Neodiprion lecontei: one gene and its partner. The protein of the gene in region 1 interacts with the protein of each later gene in a pairwise test. Links are inferred from orthologs where the notes say so. Each region holds a gene or a part of one and is shown in the gene's direction. Other genes may lie near its edges.

Region 1 (10,633 bases):
GTAATATGCCGAATAGTCGAGTAAATATTTTTATCCTCACGCCTCGGTAAGAAGTGAGTAAGTAGTAAGTATCTTATATCTATAATTAGTTAGGCGAAAATGGTAGAGAAGGAAAAGATGCCAACCTTATTGATATACTGATAAGTGTTGTAAGTTACAAACTTGAAACATGTTCTACACATAATGAAATGCCCACTTATGCCTTCCAGGAGTACTTTCAAGGCACAAATTTCATCCGGAGATAAAATTAAGTCGCGTGTAAATATATCGTTCAACTTTATTCCAATTATATTACGTGCAAATATTTATTCAGTCTAGGTACGTAACTTGTCTGTTTACGGTTCAATTGCGTCACACGTTACAGATTTTCAAGTCTAATAAAATATTCGTCTGCCAAATTCTGCCGATTAGACGGCACGAGTACATTTTATATCCCGTTAAATAAGTCCACTCGAATACATTTTTTAATTACAAGGAACACTAATGCATTAGTCATGGTATTCATCATTTCAAACACTCCAAAACACACGATAATTACGACTGGCATATTGCAACGATCACAGCAGCAAATGGTAATTGTTGCATACAGCTAAACTATAATCGAAATCAAGTGAATATGTTAAATTTTTTAGGCAACACCCGCGAAGCGTAATAATAAAATATAGTTTTAAGAATGATGTATGTGTAATTGTGAAAATTGTTTGTGGCTATTGTCAAGTTTATCATGATGCACTTATTACGTTCTAAATGTTGCTATGTTGGTGGACATACCAAGATAATTGGATCAGAGTCCCATTAATTTCATAATGCCTGGAGGATTGGAGGAATTTTAATTTCTAAAACAATTTCTAAAATTAAAATCTACTTGAAGGCAGTACAAAAATTGAGAACAAAATGTCATCGCTACGAACATCACGTTGCAATATCTGGAGAATGGGCCCCTTGAATTCGATTTTCAGATTCAAACTCAATTATACAAGTGCGTTAAAAACGTAGTGCTGAGTACAGAAGTTCACAATTGGTTAGCGGAGAATAGCAGTGCAACACTGAAACTGCGTAAATACCATATCAAAGTAGTAGACTTTGCATGAATATGTACGTTAAAGTTACGGCTCAATTTATATATTGACCAACAATATGCTGACATTAGAATTAGAAGCACAAATACAAGAATCAGATAACAGTAGTCACAATCACGCGAAGCAGAACTTGTCGAATGTTTTAGATATTCGACGGTGATAAAACTTTTGTACGTATGCTGGTACAAGCTTGAGGCTAGGCGTAGCGTAGTACTAATTCGACGAAGTTCAATTTAAAAAAAAAAACTTTGAAGTTTTCAGTTCAAAAGCATAACAGGATCTTGAGAAAAAATGTTGGCGTACCATATTTATAGAGTGTAATAAGATGAATTAATTTTACTAGCATCGTTTCCAAAAAATACTGTATGTACTAAAGATATTCGCTGAATAAACTATATATTTTAATAACAAAATCAGCCCACAATTGCAGCGCCGCTGTCTGAGTTTTTCCTATTTGTGAATAACACTGTCTTCGTTTGACTTTGCAACAAGTCACGATGAAAATAATCTGTTTGAATGCCATGGAAACTGTGTTGCAAATAACATCACAACTTGCGAACATGATAATATATTTGAACCACGTTACTTGATCTCATAACGCTTTTTTTACATACAGTGACAATTCTTGTGCTAAGTTGATGATTCAAAGAAAGCTATTCAAAATCCAGGTATGATTCGACCCTTCTTAGAAGCTCTCTTCAGGTTGTTTATTTTGTTTTCCCTTTTTCGTTTGTTAATGTTTTCTTGTCTTTTTTGTTGTTTCTCTTCCAGCGATTTCTGAACCTTTTCTTTTCGAGCCTCCCATTTTTTAGCGCTATGTTTCCTTTTTTGCTCTTCTTTTTTGACTGATTTTTTCAATAACTCTGGATTATCCTTGACTTTTTCCCCACTTGCCTTGGCTAGAACAGTTTTCCAAGCTTGTCTCTCCTGAAGTTCATCGGCCGCATCTTTTTTTCCAGCTTGCTGTAGTTCGTTTATCTTCAACTTCTGTTTTTCCAACTTTTGCAGAATCTTTTTGGGATCCTTGTCTACTTTAGGCTGTACTTTTTTAGCACCGATTTCTGAGAAGTCGAATTTACTGAAGACCATTTTACCTTCCGAATTGAAAATTGGTTTCGGTCTTGTGAACTTGGGCACATCTCCGTTCTCATGCTTCGCTTTGGCACCCCCAGCTGCAGCCAACTCTGTCTTGGCCAGTTTTTTCTGCATCAATCTCTCTTCTTTTTTACTTTTTTTCTTCAGTCTATTTTTCAGGCCCTTTTTCAAAAGTTTCGCTTTATAATCCAATCGCTTTCCCTTCAACTGTTCCAATTTTTCATGCAACTCTATTAACGTATTCGCTCTCGACGTGCCTGACCCCAGAGCCAAAAACATCTTTTCTATAACCCAAAACGAGAGTATTTGGTAATTAACAGTAATGGATGAACTTTTCATCAATCTTTTATAGGAATCCTTGGAAATATCAATTATGTAGTCTTTCCACACGCAAGCGTGCCGCTGATAACCAAGAACTTTAAATATTCTACAATTGTTATCTCTAGCAGACTTATTGCAAAAAACTAATACCTCTGTCATTGGTTTGTTGCTCGTGGTCGGCATCATCGTCTTGGAATTCATCTGCAATAAAAAAAGCGTTAAATTATATCTCGTTGTCAACCAGACGAGTCTATACAACGTAAGAATTATCAAATTTTCAGGTTATATTTGAGTTCGAACCGTTTTTGTGCAGGGCAGAGTATGGTATAGGCATACGGGAGAACAAATCTGTTATGTACTTATTTTCCCTTATCAATATCTGCTTCGCCAACTTCACGTCGAATGATTTAGCCTTACGCGTCTCTGTTAACTGCATCTTGTCTTTCCTTTTAACCACAAAATTTCACGTGCACCTCCTGCAGCTTGTAAATATAATGACGATGACGAACAGCAGTCGCCGCGGCGTGGTCAAATCGCGAAACGTACGAGAGAGAAGCAGACAGAAGCCTGAGAGAGCCCACGCTTGCACTTCTCGTGTCTCCGGTGTATTAGCGCCCTTTGACACCATACAGGTATTCAGAACTAGTTTTAGAGATATTTGAACGGTAAAGGCATGACGGTAACTGAACTGCACTCTGCAGTATCTTCAGTGATCGGCCATATTCGGCATCACGAAAACAGTGGATGTTAGTAATTTGTTCATATTTGACTACTGATCCCCGTAAATGTGTTCCGCATCGTTCACTGTTTTCACGACGCTTAATACGGCAGAGTATTGGTCGGTTACGCCACGCGTTTACCGACCAAATACCTCGAAAATTAGTGTCAAAAACCTATATCACGGAAAGACGAGCGTGAGCTCTCTCAGGCCCGTAGACTTACTGAGTCTGTGTCTGGTACTATCAAATGACGCACAGATGGCGCTACTATCAATTGGGAAACGTCATTCCAGGCAAGGAGGGAGTGATAAAGAAGGTGCAACGTTGAGGTTGAATATTCTTGTACCGTTATCAGCAGCAGACATTCTTACCGGCGAAAAGTAGCGAGCAAAACTTTGCAAGGAAACGTGGGTAGACGTCAAGCCTCGTTGTCACTTGGATTAGATTAGGTTAAGTTAAGGTTATTTTGGGTTATGTTAGAATTTTATCCGTGAATCCTGACGAATCTGACGTTTCCGTAAGCCAGGTATGAAACCATTATTTATTTTGATTTATCCCAGCTGACGGACATAATTATACGCACTATTGCACGCATACATTCATTAATTTATTGTTTATTGTAGTAAACAGCAACGACAGTCTGAAAAGTTGAGTTCAAATTTTTTCGTTACAACGGTGATAAATTCAACACTTGATAACAGCGGCTAATTTTTATTCCAAAATTTTTTAACATATAAGTTTCCCAGATACCAAATATTACCACGTAATCGCAAAAGAAATCCTGCAACATCGGTTCCAGTTCCAATCAACAACTGCATTCAAACATGGCCGCCATGGAAGCCATGTTTATTTGCCGCGCATGCTCACGGGTTTGTTTGGCAAATTAAACCTCCGTTTAGACGCTTGAGAGTTGATATTTTGCCGGTAAAACACGAGTAAAAATATTATTTTTCACCAATAAGTAAACAGTGGGACAAATACGTATCAACATGCCGCCTAATCGGGTACATAAATAAAAACTGTAGAATAAAAAGTGCAATGTGGGCGGAGTCTGCGTCGCAACTGCTGTCAGGAATGAGCGTCGGATGCGCGACGTGCGAGACTAAACCTGCCTTACGTGAATACAATCAGCATTAATGTGAAAAACTTTTATACAATGATCAGACCTTAGTGAATATCGGAGTGTTGGCGACAGTGCGTGTAAACCGTGAACGACATCGAATCGGTGATAGTTTGATGCTCGGAGGTTAAATAAACAAGCGTCAACGAAGAGTCGCGCATGGGGCAGCAAACAAGTGAGAGAGAGACGTCTCGTGTCGGAGGACGGAGCGCGAATGCGGTCCTCTGATTGGCGGGAACGGGTATGGCTGGCGCACGCACACTCGGCACCGAGGGAAGCTAGTTTCACACTAACCAAAGTCAGATCGCTAGAGACAGAACGCACACGGGCCGCGCGCTGCCTTGTAAAGGCACAGAGTAATGCCATACGAATGGCAAGAGTTTTCCAAATCGGCCTAGGCTTACCGTGAAACACCGTCGAAAACAACAATACCGAGGATTCGAAAACGGTAACGAGGATGACGTAAATTAATAGTTATTAAAAAGTAATAAATAAAACAAATAGATACATAAAATAATAACTGTAATAAAACGAACCGTGTATACGTAACACTTTGACAATCCGTCAACTAGACACTACTCTACATCATACCGACTACGAACCTAAAACATAAGAGATATATATATACACATATATATATCATAAAGGATAAAAAAGAATACAATAATACAATAAAATATAAGAATAAACGTAAGTGTGAACGTTGGAAATTCGAGACAAAGGAAATTAATACCAGAAGACACTGTTGTATATATATATATATATATATATATATTGTATATACACATATATATATATACACACATATAAATACATATACGATGCTGATAGTGTCTACGAATTATTTTCAATCGCGTTTTAATGTAACAAATCGATAATAATAACCACAGTGATTATTATTGTTATTGTTATTATTATTACCGTAGTTGCGAGTATATACATATATATATTTCCAAATAATCCCGAAGAGAACGACGAAGGTAGCAGAGTTTGCCGTATTTACACACGGAGAAACATATGTACGCGATATAAGATTCGTTGTTAGTTACGGATAAAGTGGAACACGTGTTGAAAAATTAATACAACGACGAAAGTTTGTGCGCGAGATGGGAGTATTTTAATAATCATCATCATCATCGTCCAATAATAATCGCAAAATAGAAGAGAAATGAGAAAGTGAAACGCGTCGGTTGGCGATTGTTTGATTGTTTGTTTACTGTTGTGTGTTTCTTTGTTTTTAGTTCTTGTAAATCTTGTAAAGAAAACCATTCGGGATCAGTCATTCGTCGCTCCGAAGTCCTGACAAAATCGCGAGAGGCATCATAAAAAAAAAAAACGAAAAAAAAAAAACTAAAAACAAAAACAGAGCAAAGAGAACATCGGTGCTCCAGCGAGCCGCCAGACGTAAACGGAGCTGGTACTCAGTTGATGGATGAAACTGGAAGGATGCTGCAACACGGTGGTTCAGGTGTGAGTCTGATGGGGGGCAACCAGGGTCAAGGGGCCCAAAACACGGGGGGCTACGGCAGCATGGGGCCCGTCGATGCGAGCGCGGCTCAAGGCCCCGATCAGAGCGTCGAGGCGAGGAAACAGGACATCGGCGAAATATTACAGCAGATTATGAACATAACGGACCAAAGTTTGGACGAGGCACAGGCTAGGTAATTAAATTCCCAATTCAATCATTTCGCGAGTATACTTTAGGGAAAATATGAATATCGCGCGGACGAAATTCCGTCGGGAACTTGATTCTGTCGATGATTCAGGGATCGATACTCTGTAATTTAGAATGGAAAGAGGTGACGATTACGGTAACAAGTGCCTGCTCATAGAGTTACTAATGCGTTGAGTGTAATTCGTTTTCATAACCGAAATAAAGGAGGCGCAAAATACGACAAGCGATCGGTTTGAGAGTTGTTTAACACTTGAATATACCGGCCTTATTGCGGGTTATTGTTGTTTTTAATTTATATCGAATATGTGTACGCTGTCTGTTTAAACAATAGTTAAACGTCTTTTCTGTTTGTTATTGTCCACAGAAAACACACGCTAAATTGCCACAGAATGAAACCAGCCCTATTCTCCGTCTTGTGCGAAATCAAAGAAAAAACTGGTAAGCTAAGACATCAGATACCTGCATTATCGAATTCGAATTTCATACGTTGTTCAAATGCTGTACGATACATTCCGACCTACGTTTTCGCGATTATTCAACGACTGTCGCCGTCCGTGCAGAGAATCGAAAAAGAAGGTCACACGGCTACATGCAGTTCGTGCACACGTCCGTTTGTTTATACTTCGCCTCAAGCCGGAGGAACATTTTAGTTTTAAAAGAATTTCGAAGGGTTTTAAGCAGCGGCGACGCTGTCACACCGTATCAATGTCACCCGCAATGATGGATGATCGGCCACGATTTTATCGCACCTTATCTCGCGATGCTATCAGTGTGACAATACGTTACATAAAATGTGCCAGGGGATAAAGAGTAACTAAAAACGACCAATCAGACCAAAGAAAGAAGATTTAAAAAAAAAGGAAATAAAAATAACAGATACGAGAAAAGTACCTGCAGAAGCAACGGGAGTCCGTAAATCACACCTCCCTCATTCGTTCATTCATTCATTCGTTCAATCACCGACAGGGAAAACAATTCAACTTTCTTCCATCGTCTCTCTTCTCTTCCTCACCTCCCATCCTTCGCGGCATGCATTGATTGTCATGCTCGTCGTTGATCCGAGCGCGTGGGTAGCGAAGAACTCGATTTAAACGACGTGTTCCGCAATTGGCGGGATTTGATTTCGGTCCTTCCCTGCATCTTGGATCGAATGCCTCTCCTCGCGGTTCACTGGGCTCGGAAGAAGACAGACAGGCAGACGTACGGATAGACGTTTCTGTTGACGGTGAACGACCCTTGATATGCTGCTGCAGGCGCGTCATCCCCCCTTCCCATCCCATTTTTTCCGATCAGGGGAGTCGGCACAGAAAAGCTGAAGAGCCGTCAGCGACGGAAAAGGGGGCCTGAAAACAGGGGAGCCCCAAAATAATTGCGCACTTCGTGGTCTCTCTATCCACGCGTAAAGTAATCCAAACATCACATAAAAATTATGTTTACGAGTTTCGAATTGGTATTGGGGGGCCCGCTGTATTCCCAACCGAGAGAGCGACGCGACGCTCCGTGTGCATACGTATATGTACGCATGTGTGCACATGTATGTACTTACATGTATGAACGTGCGCGGGACGCCGCGTCGTGGTGTGTATCACGCTCGGCGCGATGCAGAGCTACTCATGCATGTGGGACGAATGCCGGTGTGTAAATCTGTACACGCCTACACAGAAACCGGGGATAGAACTGAACTGCGCCGCTCCACCACAGAGTTTATGGGCAATGGCTGACGAGGCAGTGAAAAAGCACTAAAATGGAGAAGAGCAGATAAACGCTATGTTAAGCAGACCGTTTTCCCGCGTACTTAATATAATCAGGGTTCTCATGGGGCGAGGATAGATTCGAATTAGAGATCCGTGAACCCCGTATAACCGATCATCGTTCGCCGTCGGCGATGGATTTTTTTCGATTACGATAAACTCGTCCAAGCCGATAATGAGCGGAGACGATACGAAGAGAGAAAGCAAATGCAGACCATTCCGAAACCGTACCTCTTGCGTTAGTTGAGCCATTGATCCGTTTCGTAATATTTTAAAATACGATAAATAAGCGTATTACAAGAGGTTCGTTTTTTTTTTTTTTTTTTTTATTCTTGTTTTGATAATTTTTCCGAGATTTTTCGATGAACTCTGTAATCTGCGAAGATACGATTTAGACGCGGAGTTTAGAGCGTCCGTGAGCTCGGACGAACGCACCGACACTTGATTTACTCGAAGATAAACAAAACCCTTTTTCTTCCCCCGTTCCGCCGAAGAGCTCCGCGGTTCTTTGGTTGGTTGGTTGGTTGGTTCGTCGGCAGCCGTCTGTCTGACCGCGTCCTTTCCGCCTCTGGCTCGGTGAAGAATGTGAGAAAAACACCTTGCGCGCTTTGCGCACGCTGCCAGCCAAGGGAAATACAGCCCCTAAATTTCCACCATTGTCACGGCGTTTAGGGTCCTATTCATTTTCGGGCCCTGGATACCTCGCCCTTACCTTTTCTACATTCTACTCTCCTGACAGCGGGCGGTGCCGAAATTCACGTGAAAAAGGAGGCCTCGTTCGGTCATGTACTACTTCGAGTCTCTCCTCTTCTCTCCTCTTCTCTCATCTTCTCTTCTCTTCTCTTCTCTTCTCTTTTCTTCTCCGCGCCGCACCGACGTTGCCACGGTTTCTGGTCTAAAAATATATATATTTTCACGCCACGGGTCGCGCGTTCAACCATCGCCAACACTGTAATACTTTTGTGTATAATATCACGGTATTCGAGGGACGAGTCAGGAGGCGATGATTTCTGGTCCAGTCCGGAACCCGTAGTTATAATTTAATTGTAAGGGGATGTCGGAGTGCCGACGGAGTGACCGAATCGTATTTTAACTATAAGTCCTTTCTCTCTGGAGTAACTAAATCGTTTCAAACTTTGGGAAATTATACGCTTACAAATGTTTCCAATTGTGCTTGTGGGTTCACTCGAAAAACTGATGTAAAAATACGAAAAACATGGGATTCAATAATCCCGCAACCGCCTCAAAGTGAGCGAGAATCCGTTGCAAGCATATGTTCGGTGATTTCGTTGATTCCTTGTACTCTTCCGAGTCAAATGATTTGCCAAAATTTGAAGGAATTTTCTCGTTCAGAAAAAGTGAGAACTGTAAAAATACGATCTGCGGTATTTTACGGAGATTCGACGTCCTCTTAAAAACCATGGATTATAAAACAGATTAAGAAAGAGCGCTGAGATTGCAGGAAACAATCTAAACTGAATTTCAAACCTGATTCACTCTAATCCCATACCTGCTGCTCGACGTTGACCCGTTTGTCAATTAGACGTTGACGATGAGCAATGAACTTATAAAGATATCCGTGGCGGTGTTAGTTACTGTACCTAATTGAAGAGTAATTAATTTGGAACAACACCGCGAGCTGAAGTGCCGTTTATTGGGTACGCCTCTCGCCTTCCTCAACTAAAATTTGTCTAGAAAACGAGTCATTAATCTTGCTCGGTTCAACAACCAGTCGAATTGACCTGTTCTCAAATCATATAATCTGTATCGAGTATTATTATTTATAAACGTTGCAAAGGCCACAAATATTTGAGACCGCGAGGCGAAACTATTTTTACTGAAAAAACACCGACGGTTTACATATTGGCTGTTGTTTACGTGGTCAGTTTCGTATTTTCTTTTTCTTTGTTGCTCTTTGTTACGTTACCATTATCACTATCGCGTCTGTTGTTCAGTTTTGTTTATTACAGTCTCGTGCCGTCGCATTGTTACACAATCAAGGACAACGACGGATCGTGGCTTCCTTTAACGCGTCTGTTATGCATTACGTATAGCTCTATCATCAACAACCGGTAATCAATTCAAATAGAATTTATTACCCCGTTAACGCGATCCAAATTGCGACAGCGTCGATCATGCTAATGCGTATTTAAATTCGATAGGACGGTTGCAGCATCGGTGCTGATAATTTAAGGGTATGGAAAAAATATAACTATTTGCCAAATTATACATGGCTTTAGAGTCGCAACAATTGACTCTTGACGTCGGTATGTATCAATTTAGATAACCACTCTACTACCTGAAAATTAACCTGTAAAATTTGAAATAGACGAGGAACCTTTTATTGGCCTAAAAAATTCATAGAGTTTTGAAGAGTTTTGACAAAACTAAAATTTACAACTAACTCGTGAAATTTATCAATTCAAATCAGGGGCAACCTTGTTAAATTCAGTCGTCTGCTAAATGGAATTCACGCGGTGCCTTCTAAAGTATCGAAAAGTGGGAAGAGTCGGCGGCAGCCTGCGTAAGAATGATAATTTATCGCGAAGAGAAAGGGTACGAAATCGCGTTTTACGCGGTGTATTGTTGAAGCGAGAGAAACCCTCGGCCGACGGATGCCATGGCCGACCAGCGACTCGAACTCGGAGCGTCGCGGGAATGCCAACTATGCGCAGCAAATTCTCTCGGCGTACATTTCGCTTCGTCTGCCGTCGAAGGTTGGGACCCAGGGTCGTATCGACGGGACGCGCGTCTCAGAAATCAAGTCCCAAAACCAACGATCTTCGGAGAAAAGTCAGGGACGGCGGGTCGGAAAGTAGAATTTTCAGAGTCGAGAGAATCTAACTAGTCGAATTTCAAATTATGGAAATCGA
Region 2 (10,950 bases), on another chromosome or scaffold:
ATTTATGACAATACGTTTTTTGCATGTGTTATCTAATTCTTGATTCATTTATCCTGGGTTCTGGCTCATTAACGGTTCGTCAAGAAGTAATTTGACTGACGCTATTTAATCGAGCTACTCGAGTCTCGTGCATGTCTTTCCTTCGTGTCTTCAAAGCCAATTAAACAACTTTGATTATCCTCTGGAAACACTTGGAAACTTCTTGATAGATGTCCTATTGGATTTCCAGTAATGGATTTGTGTCGTGATTTTGGAATTCTGTACACAGAGCGACTCAAAAAACAGAAGTGAAAAAACCAAGAATTATCCTCTGTTCAATCCCATCCAAAGTTTTCTAAAATTTCATAGACCAACGAAGGAAGATCAGCTGCTTAGCCAACCCTTGAACATTTGCGTCAAGTATGAAAAATCTAATTTTCAGGAGCACCTGCTTCATCCGTAATGTGTGTACCTGAATTGAAAAGACGGTAATACTTCAGAATGAATGGGAGATAAAATATCCAAACGATTAGTTGTTTTTTTTTTTCGCATTGACGATGAGCTTGCGAATTCGGTGATTCCCCTTGCGACGGTGAGAAATCGGGCGTATTTGGAGCAAGAGCGGAAGTTCTGCGTCGGTATCTCGAAGATGGAATAGCTCGTTGTGTTTTTATGGCCTCCTTTCTTCTTCCACCAATTTTACAAGCTATAAGTTCTTTCGATCAATGGGCCGCGGAGAGGCGCGTGCGCTGGTTAGACGCTTCCCTCCCTCTCCGCGTCTTTGGCAGGACTCCGAAAACCAGTATAGGTCCGTCCTTGTTCAACCCGAAGAGGAGGAGAACGGTGTTCGAGCGAATGCCACCAGATGTCAGCATTACTTTACGACCCTTGAAACGACTCGAACGACCAGCGAACGGTGGTTAGACCATGAATGGTTTTATCGCTCATTTGCTCGGCTGAATGGAACTTGACACCTACACCGTGAAGACGAGGAGATTTCCGTGTCGTACACATCCAAGCATGGGAATGGGGAGATGGAACACCGTCAACAGCCACATTTCTCCTAATCGTCACTAAATTATTATTATCACTTTATGCCGTAGGTATACACTCTCGACACTGTTGTGCACCGTGAAACGATTCCCCCTTTAAGTGCGCGCGCGTTCGTTCCTCGCTATTGCTTACTTCCAAAAGACCCGGAAGATTGCTCGAACTTCCTTTTGCCTCGGAGAGATGTTCAGGGATTTAATTTTTTCTCTCTTATTTGGTGGGAGGAATACGAGGGATACCTTTTCCCGGCGAATGCTCCGACAGATTGAAGGTAAAATACCTACCCACTCTTGGAATGAACGATATTCCGTTTCTCCCTTTTTCCTCGGATAACGTTACCTAGTTTGGCAAGGACGGTTTTTAAGTATTTTCCGTGGGGCAAGGCGGGCGGGCCGAGCGCGTGTAGCTCAGGGTGTCTTGAGGTGGTGGAGGGCTGATTTATTCAAGTTAATTCCAATTCCATTGGAGGAGCGAGGGGGTGGTGGAGGTGAGGCGGGGGTCGCTGGGTGGCTGGTGGCAGCGACGGGGGTGGATATTCTTATGCAATTTGCCAGAAAGGTTCAAGAACCCAGGAGATCCCGCAATTTATCTTGCCTTATGTTACTCCGAGCCAAGGCAACGGAAGATAGATGGCGTCACTGGTTTCAACCCCCCGCAGCACCCTTCGGCTTCTACCTTGCGACCACCCCATCCCATGGCCAATGAGGGACGACCCGTGGTGGCCATCTTGGATGGAGAGTTATTGAACGAAAAAGATGAGTAAGAAACTTGTTATGGGGGTTCGTTCGTTCGTTCGTTCGTTTTCCCCGCGGCGGTAGGGAACGCACCACGGGTGCCCGAGGCGGAGAAAGGGGAAGGGGGGGGGGGGGGGGGGTGAACGAAACGGGGGAGAAAGCTTGGGCTGGAGAGAAAAGAGAAGAGACGACGTTGGCCGGGGGGGAGGGAGGGAAGGAAGGGGTTGCCAGCGGTGGCGGTGGCCGTGGCGCTATATTGATCAATTGCCAGCACGCCGTGCTTTGCACTACTTTCCAGCCATAAAATACAACGCGTTGCGGCACCCGCAGGGCCACCACCCTCACCCTCACCCTCACCCTCGCATCCTCGGGTGTTACGATGACGGTAAAACGCTGCTGTAATTAGAAAACAATTGGCCTTAATACGAGCGAGCAGAGAAATGACTTCCCTCTTTATCCACCTTTCAACAAATTTCGTCTCGATTATTGCGCCACTATCAACAACACCATACTCGCCAATTCGTGATCGTCAATCAATTTATTTTATTAATACACTCCAACATTAGGTCAGCATATGTCTTTACGTTTTGACACACAGACTGCGTGACCTTTTTTTCTTCCTTTAAACGCAGATTAGTAGGTTACAAACGATATTCTTGTACACCTCTGCAACACGTATACTTAATGTTCCGAAGAGGGTAATAACACGTCATTCGCGTAGATACCGTGTTTCACGATCTGTTTAATTCGACTCGGCTCGATGCGCTCGTGGTTCAGAAGAGGTGCCAGCTAATAGGAAGATTGCACAGCGTTTCTTTTTAATTAAAACTATATAGTTTGGTTCGAAAATCACCGCTCTGTACGTATTCGGATTTAGTCTGTATTCCGGCGCCGCCACGCCGTCGCGAAATATTTACACTACAATTGCGTAGGAAACCGACAGACTTACGACGGTTCAACGTCCGGATGCTTTGAAATCTGACGAGCGGTTTTCTGTCCTACCCACTTGAGATGCGGGAGGAAAAATCGTGCCGGTATTGGACAACGGTGAACGCGCCATGACGACCAACGTTGACGGATGAACGGGAAACGTTAGAAAGTAATCATTTTGTTTCGGGCCGCGTTCGGCAGGAACGTTCCATGCTCACAAAATACGTACTTAGAGGGAGCTCGAGGCGTGATATAGCTAGGAATTCGGTTGGGGCAGCGCTCGGACCCACTCCGGTTGAAATCCGGACGTCGGGCGTCTCGTTCGTTTGTGCCTACTGGACGCGGCGTTGGCATTTGCATTCTGTGAAACGTACCAGAATTTCTCTTCCCTCGTAAATTGACGATTAATAATCTGAGCGTATCTCTGCCCTGCCCTGCCCTGCGCTGCCTGGGCTGCGCCACAACTTACATAAACACGTTTAACCCAGCGCTCTCACGCACCGATCAAAAGGAATTCCTGAAAGCCACGTGGCCGAAGCCCGACCGCTTCTGGAATACCTCGACACCTGCACGAGGAGCGTGAACGCAACCTGATTACAGCTCCAGTTTTGGCGTGACTCGGGCCTCGCGATTGGCCGAGAAAAAATTTCAACTCGCGGGACAAAAGCCACGGGAAGGCCGCGGGTGGTCACGGGCACATTCATGGGTGGTCGTCTTGTGTGCGGGTGGAAACTCTGGCATGCCCGCGGTGTCCGTGGTTTATGAGCGCGTGCGCCGCGGCCGGATCGGTGTGAGTGACGCTGGGAGTTCAGTCGGTGAACATTCGGGACGACGGTGTGCGTGGAAAACGGTGCGTGAGCGGCCTCGCAACGCGTTAATTACACCTCACTGCGGCAACCGGAGAGTGCCGCCGGGTACGAAAAGAGTCGGGTATAAACACAGCCGTACAAGGAGGGTAGCAGTGTCAGAGAGTCGGCGTTTCGCATGCGGATGAATAAATACATATTATACCGCGATCGAACACGTAGCTCTACGTATATGTATAACGTATACGGGTAAGAGAGCCGCGGATTATAAGGCAGATCGTAGAACTCTACGCAAACTGGCTGCGTAATTTTTAATTGATCCTGCGGGGTATGAAAAGTGTCCTCCGCCCCTTCCCCACAGCAGGGATTACGTAAAGTATAATCATGTCCGTTTTTGCGCAACGATTGATAATAAAATTCTGCGTACAAGCTTAAGCCTATTTCATCACTGATCACCGCTCGGGGAATCGTATGGTCGTGAAAATTGTTCGTCTCGTTCAAAACGCCAAGCTGCATTGCCGCCGGGTCTGAGAGCTTGAGCTTTTTTCCGATAGACAGTGCTGGCGTCGCCACCGTCGCGACGCCATCTAGGGAACGGAGACGTAACCCCGTCCTGACCACGTGCGTGTCCCTTCCCCTCCATCCCCCACCCTTTCCCGCCCGACTAAGTTGCGCCGACTAGCGAGCGAGCGAGCTTTTGCCGACCGTCAAAGGGCCGCGAGCACCCGGCGTCGGTGGGGAAGTTACGCCGCTTTTCCGCGATGGTGGGGGGGGGAGGGGACGCCCGGCGTCGTGGGGCGAGCTTCGCGGCCCGGGAAGAACGGGGAGCGGAGGGCACCCACGCCTCCCACAGCGCAGAATCCCATCGATCATTCCGCCGTTTCCCAGTGTTTCACACCGTCGTGTTGCGCCGTACATGACCACCCACACACCCTCGATCCTCTAAGTGTGCGCCCGGCACAGGTACCGTACAGCAGTGGCGCAGCGGCGTCGGTGTGCCCCCCTGCCCCTCCCCCACCATCCCCCTTCATCGTCCGCCTCCCCCCATCGCTCGCGTCGTGACGGCTCGGCGGGCAATGCCGACCATCACGAGGGGCCTACCTTCCTTCTTGTTATATTTATGCGAGCGCTCGCGACCGAGGAGGTTTATGTTCCCAGTGTGTCCATAGGTACACCTGTTCGCGGTTTTGCCGATCCATATATAACCGACGAACCAACTAACCAACCCTCTTGTTTCTTTGGGGGAACAAATTGATAACGGTGAAACTGAAATGGTCTGACGTCGCGCTCGTCGGACATCGCGCGTTGCGTTTACGTCGCGATCCGGAGACGGAGGAGAGTTTTTCGCGACTTGGTGCAGGGGGTGAGGGTTGATCCGATCACTTATTCCGGGGGTAGGGGGCACTCACAACGTGGCTGCCGCGACACCGATGATCGGCTCTCCCTTTACCCGCGTGTGCTTGTGCGGTGCCACGTGCCAAGTGCAGCCAATAAGTGCGCGAGTGTTGGCTTCGAGTTCGGCCAATAGGATTACCGGATGATCTGGACCCGGGTTGGATGCAGGCGGTAATGAAGCGCTCGGAATTTGGAGGAACTCGTGCCAGACCGTGATTTACCTAAGAACCCCGCCGACCGGAACCTCGAACCACTCGGTTAGTTTGCCAGTGTTTTATCTCGCGCAGAATTCACTCTCGCCGGGGAGATTGTTGTTTCTTTTTTATCGCGTAATGGCTCGTTTCGGAATTGAAATGCAGACGGAATACTCAGGCTCGCTAAATCGTCCTGGTCGGAAATAAAAAAAAAAAAAACCCAAGACAAAAGCTCGCCGCGGTGATACAGTGAAATTTGACAGACCCGACGCCGGGGCGGATTCCAACACGCGAAATAGATCCCGATGGTCGTCTGCAAATCCGCCCATTGTGCGAAACGATTCATATCCATGAATCACGTGTTAATGAACGTTCTTTGCGAAGACGTTTATCCTTACAAGCCTAGTACCGATTCCGTAACGTCGCGGCCTCTTGTCCTGAAAACACGCGTTTAAATAATTACCAGGCACGTTGTACTCTAAGGTAAAAAGAAAGAACCTCTAGTGAGACGAGACTTTTAGGAGTCGAGACCGTGGGGAAAGTGAGACGTGAAGAGATTCAAATCGGCCTACCTTCTTTAGCAAAATAAAAGTCACAATAATCTTGATAATAATAACAGTGGCATCTTGCCAGTGAATAAATATGAATGAGTACAGGTGGGTTCTCACAGTAGGATTTTATATAATCTTAGAATAAACTGGCCGGGCATATCACGGATGTAAATCTGGTGTGTCGAAACGAGTTCTGTTTCCGCGTTAAAGCGTCGCGAGAGAACGAGCAACTCCTCGCAAACTTGCTGAAAATATGAATGTTGAAATACTTTTCTATTTTCACCGCAAGATGCACGCGTACATTGTCCGATGTTCCAATACGTGTAGTTTCGAGTTGCCAAAACATCTGTAATTCCATTCGGTGCCTGAATGTATTTTTATCAAATCTTAGGTGACAAACAACGTGTGTACGGACCTTTTTGTTTCACGTCGTGTGCGATGGTGAAAAAACGATGGAATGTAACAAAATTCGGTATTAATAAATAGTCGACTAATTATCTAACCGATTTTGCACCTCATCGCGGGGTTCGTTCAAGGCAGCGACCTTGCGCCCTCGCTTACAGAAGGTGTTGATTAATTAGTAGCACATATTCCGACTCACCGGTACATGTGCGAGTTGTGTTGTATAATAGCGGGTTATTTATTGTTCCAGGTAAGTGACGTTGCGACACTCGAGGGGCGGCTCGGCACCCGGTACTCGCGGATTCCATTTACCATGCCGACATGAGTCGACTCGCCCTGCGGCAGTGCTGTAAGGTAACGAAGTTCCATCATGGATATTCATGCGCTGAGCAAAAATTGTTGAATTCCAAGAAATCGAGAACTCGACTCGTCCTCCGCGGCGATGCGTGTTGCATGTGTGAGCCACGACGGACGCAGGGGTGGTCGGTCGGTGGTGCTCAAGCGATTCCCGAAAGTGAAGTTTGGGAACTGGCGGATCGTAAGAGAAAAGGAATCGTAATAAATACATAAATAATTAGATATGACCGCGGGTGTACAGGTGCAAACGAGTTTAAAGAAGCCCGCGGTTATTAGCGGGCCCTGCGGGAGGGACCAGGGCACCTCGCGGGGAACGGTGGAACGGCGGAACGGTGGAACGAGGAACAGCGGGGTGCGACGGGGCCCGGGCCCTGTGAGAAATAAGAATATAATAAGCTGGCCGGCTGTCGGGGCCGGTTCGTACAGGCCGTAGTTTGTGGCTGTGGTGTCTACGGATCGTGCCCCGTTCTTTCCGTTCCCCGCTATCCTCCTCTCCCCGTTTCTTCTGGCCCCTCCTTCGTCAACGGTGAACCCGGCCGGGCCACACACCGTCGGCTTGTAAGACACGCGGTGAGATTAAATGCTTCATTAATGTGATTAAAGTAAAAAGCTGCCTGAGTAATGAGACGCGGTGAATCATTCACAGCCGTTTGCTCTCCAACCACAACTTCGCTGCGGCATGCTCGTATTCTCGTTTTTCTCAAAACTCAAACCCTCCTTCCAGCCTCGCGTATCCGATGCACAAGTCAGTAAAGACATTGCGCGGCAAGTTGGCATTCAACAAAAAGCTCATCCTATTTCTTTGTATGTACTCGAAATTTCAGATCATAAAGTGAAAAATCTTTCGAAGAGTTCGAGTCTCGGAGAATTATTGTTGGTTAAAATGTGGATAAACTGCCGTCAGGGAAGGGTTCGGGTACGAAATTCTCTTCTGACGGGAGAGTTCATAAAAATATACAGACTCTTCCACCACCGCGGTGGTAAGTCTCGGCCCCATGGTCTCGGACGCTTCTTGAGAACGACCGCAAGAGTCCCGGAGGGCCTGGCAGGGTTAAGCTGTACAAATTCCTGGCTACGAATGGCGGGTGGAGGGAGCGAATGGTGGAAAAGGGCAAATGCGCACCGGTCAGGCAAACTTTATGTACGGGCCGCGTACACGCGGAGCGTATTTGAGAAGAGGTAAAAAATGAATGGATGAAATTAAAAAGAAAAAGAAAAAGAAGAAGGTATCGGATGGCGCGGGACATCTGCGTTCGAACGGATATTGAAACCATGGTACCAAACGGTCTCTGGTAGCACGAAGCCGACGATAGAACTGCCAACGACTTGCCATACAAACGTCCCGTCGATTGCGAACAAACCTACGTTCGGGACGTCGCTGCGGAACGTCCTCGTCCTCGGAAGGTCTTAAGGCCCGTCGATTCGACGGCTTAGCAGTTCCGCCACGGGTTCTTTCGCCGAGCGTTTTCCCACGTAGCTGCGGCTCTCCGGGCAGCACTTTTCGACGCTAGCTTCAAACCGAGGTTCGCGATTCCACGCGCGGATATCGAGTAGCCCGCCCAAACACGCCCTGGCGCAATAAATTAACTTTCACCGTGACTAAAAATGCCGCCCGGTTGATCCGATCCCTGTGATTTGCTGATTAGATTTCACACCGTGAAAAAGTAGCGCCGGAAAATGATATAATGATCTTGCAATGTCGATGCCGTCGTTTCGAGGCTCGATACATCGGTAGTCAAGTTTGCTCGGAGAATAAACGGCCGGTCAGAGAACCGGATCTTGCAAGCCTCTTACATACGCAGAGACAAATGGTCTTCAGCGAGACGAAGTCAATTGAATATCAACGAGTATGGATGGTTAGGCTCTTTGAGGGATCGGAATCAATTATCGATCTCCAGCGATTTATGCACGGCAGCCGATGTGCCGTATTATTTTTGTTCGTCAAAATTCGTCGGCTCATTTTGAGACCGAATCTTTTTATCGGTCGGTGAGTAACGAGGATGCTCAGAGAATCTGGCGTGTGGATATTACCTGGGAGAGAGAGACGCGTACGATAATCCGCCGACTATTACTTAGAGAGGTAGATCTGAAAAGGATTGCCGGAGTAAGGCGAGTGCGGGCAAGGTGCCGGAGTTGACGCAAAGTGCAGGCAGATGCGATCGGCGATTACGCACTTGCGGCGTTAGCCCATATAAACGCGGACACCATGCGTCTTCCAGCGTGACATCACTGGCCGAGCGCTAATCGCGCGACAATCTTTGCCTCCGCAAACTTGGGCCGAGCAAAGCAGAGGCGAAGGAAAGCGAAACAAGGCAAAGCAAACCGAGCCGAGTCAGGCCAAGTCGAGGAAAGAGTCCAACGCCGACTGTCCGGTTCGTCCTGATATCTCAGACTCTCGAACAAACGACAATCGTATAATTAGGTGTCCAGCCGAACACCAAGCCAACATCACGAACAATCCTTACACGCAATATTCCACGGCTGTAACGCGAGGTCCTTGGTTGTGTGCTATTTATCCGCGATACGCATGCTATATTTGCTTCTCTCTACCGGGCGTTCCAGCCGCTGCACCTTGTGTTCCGGATGTCGTGACCGTCACTACGGGGGTGTGTAGTACACACCTTGGACGAGGATATTTCTCAAGGAACGGAATGCTGGAAAGGATTTCTCGCTTCGGCAGGACAGGGCATGATCCAGTTGTTCAAGGCAGGATTCTCTAGGTGTAGCCTCTTGTAGCTGGATGCGATCGGTATAAGAGCCGGTTGCCGTGCTATTAATAAGAGTGATAAATCGTTCATCGAAGTCCCGCGAAGTAGGCATGGTATTATACCACGTTGCCACGTTCATAGCGCGGCTGATGTTCCTTCGTACTCGGTGAAGAACACTCTTCTTCGCATCGTGTTCGTGAAAGTTTACCATCAAAATATCGGATCAAGTTTCAGAGAAACGAAACTGTTAGCTTGTGTCAAACTTGTGTCACTTTAGAATATTTCTGCACCAATCTCATTTCAAATCTCGATTGATCGTCGAAGATTTTGAGCTCCAAATTTTGACTTTCATCTATATTTCGAATGTGGTTACAAATGAAAGAATCTAAGTTCCGAGTCCACTGACAGGTAATTGATGGAACAGTAAGTCAGCAGCACGAATCCCTTTCTCAATGATTTTAGGGTGTGATGAGACTCCTCTACAACGTATCGCGTAAGTCGCACAGCGATACCAAGTATGAGGCACACGTAGACCAGAGGCAGTAATCGTTGTTTCGAAACGTCAAATTATCTGGTGTGTAACATTTGTTTGCTCAGTGTCGTACGCCGGAGTGTGGATTACACTCCGGGTATAATTCCGTCCGTTGCCCGGCTCCCAACTGCAGAATTCTCCGTTGCGTCGTCGTTCTTTGGTCGACGGTACGTGAGCAAGATACCGGGTACACACCGCGTGGTTCTTGGTGGTGTACAAAAGTACGGGAGTGAGGCAGTGTGCGGCACACAGATACCCATCTATCGAACCTATGCCTCTATACGTTGGCCGCACGCAGCAAACCTGTAATTTAACCCCCGAGCGGCCGCCTTCCTGCCTCCCTACCCCAATAACCATTATAATTATTGTCTCCCCCCTCAAATGGACTCTCGTAATTACCAGGCTCGCGCGTATTTGTCGAGTGTAGCGGTTTTTGGTTTGCGTTTTTTTTCTTTATTTTCTTTTTTTTTTTTTTTTGCTGCATTTTTGCCAATTCCTATTTTCTAGTCCCTGGTCTTTTACATTATACACTTTATGATCCATTCATCCCATCGTCTGCTCATTGTTTCTATCAATTTTTTGTTTTTTTTTTTAATTCGCGCATAAAGTCGCTAACCTGTCAACTACATCGAGGATGCAAGATCGTTTATCGATTTATAGGATATCGTTTGAATGTTTAATCAACTGAATTATGCGTTACGCGATCGCGTCAATTCGCGACAAAACATATTCTCGGTTGTAGACATTTTTTTTATAAAAATAAATTTGCTAACTGATTTCCGTGCGGTGATTGCGTCAGGCCTAATATTCGCACGTCGAATAAAACCTTGCGAAATGTATATATTATACAAATCGATGTAATTTATTTTAAAACTCATGCACACTCATCACTCGTGGATACGATTAGTTGCTGTTGTATCGGTAAATTTTCGATTCATCGACAAGAATTTTCGTCTCTAAGACTGGTTTGCCGATTTCTACTGATTTTTTTTTTCCGTGCTCTTCGCACATGGATCCGACCGATCTCGTCAGACGCCCGTGCAATGCAAATTCTGTAATTAATTAACCCGGTCTGAACGACACGACCTTTAAGATTGAATAATATTACGGTATAACGACAACCTGAGTGCGGGTAAAGTTTCATCCGGACCGCGGTGTACAAAGCGAGGATTTACACGTGGCATACATGTATGCGATGCATGGTTACTTAAGTACATACTGCGAATGCATGCACGGTCACCTACCTGCAGTTGCCAACCTCCGCGACGAGTCGCGTGTGAACTTGCTCGAATTTTAATATACGTATATCCAG

What was found. The genes of interacting proteins can lie anywhere in the genome.
Region 2: the proteins of homeobox protein extradenticle (region 1) and homeotic protein antennapedia interact in a protein complementation assay, tested with the Drosophila melanogaster proteins (2 studies listed by BioGRID). The link is inferred for Neodiprion lecontei from reciprocal best matches to the Drosophila melanogaster genes exd and Antp.

The regions. Positions count from the first base shown.
Region 1 is NC_060262.1:32,542,382-32,553,014, reverse strand, and holds the start of homeobox protein extradenticle, read left to right. Parts: upstream 1-3,580; 5' UTR 3,581-3,740; intron 3,741-4,148; exon of another isoform or gene 4,149-5,575; 5' UTR 5,576-5,762; coding exon 5,763-5,995; intron 5,996-6,373; coding exon 6,374-6,447; intron 6,448-10,633. Other genes in the region: surfeit locus protein 6 homolog, read right to left, coding at 1,737-2,458, 2,646-2,696, 2,796-2,931. UniProt on the Drosophila melanogaster protein: Transcription factor which acts with the selector homeodomain proteins altering the regulation of downstream target genes such as wingless (wg), teashirt (tsh) and decapentaplegic (dpp), thus affecting segmental identity.
Region 2 is NC_060260.1:3,269,689-3,280,638, forward strand, and holds the start of homeotic protein antennapedia, read left to right. Parts: upstream 1-4,661; 5' UTR 4,662-5,151; intron 5,152-6,291; 5' UTR 6,292-6,395; intron 6,396-10,950. UniProt on the Drosophila melanogaster protein: Sequence-specific transcription factor which is part of a developmental regulatory system that regulates segmental identity in the mesothorax. Provides cells with specific positional identities on the anterior-posterior axis.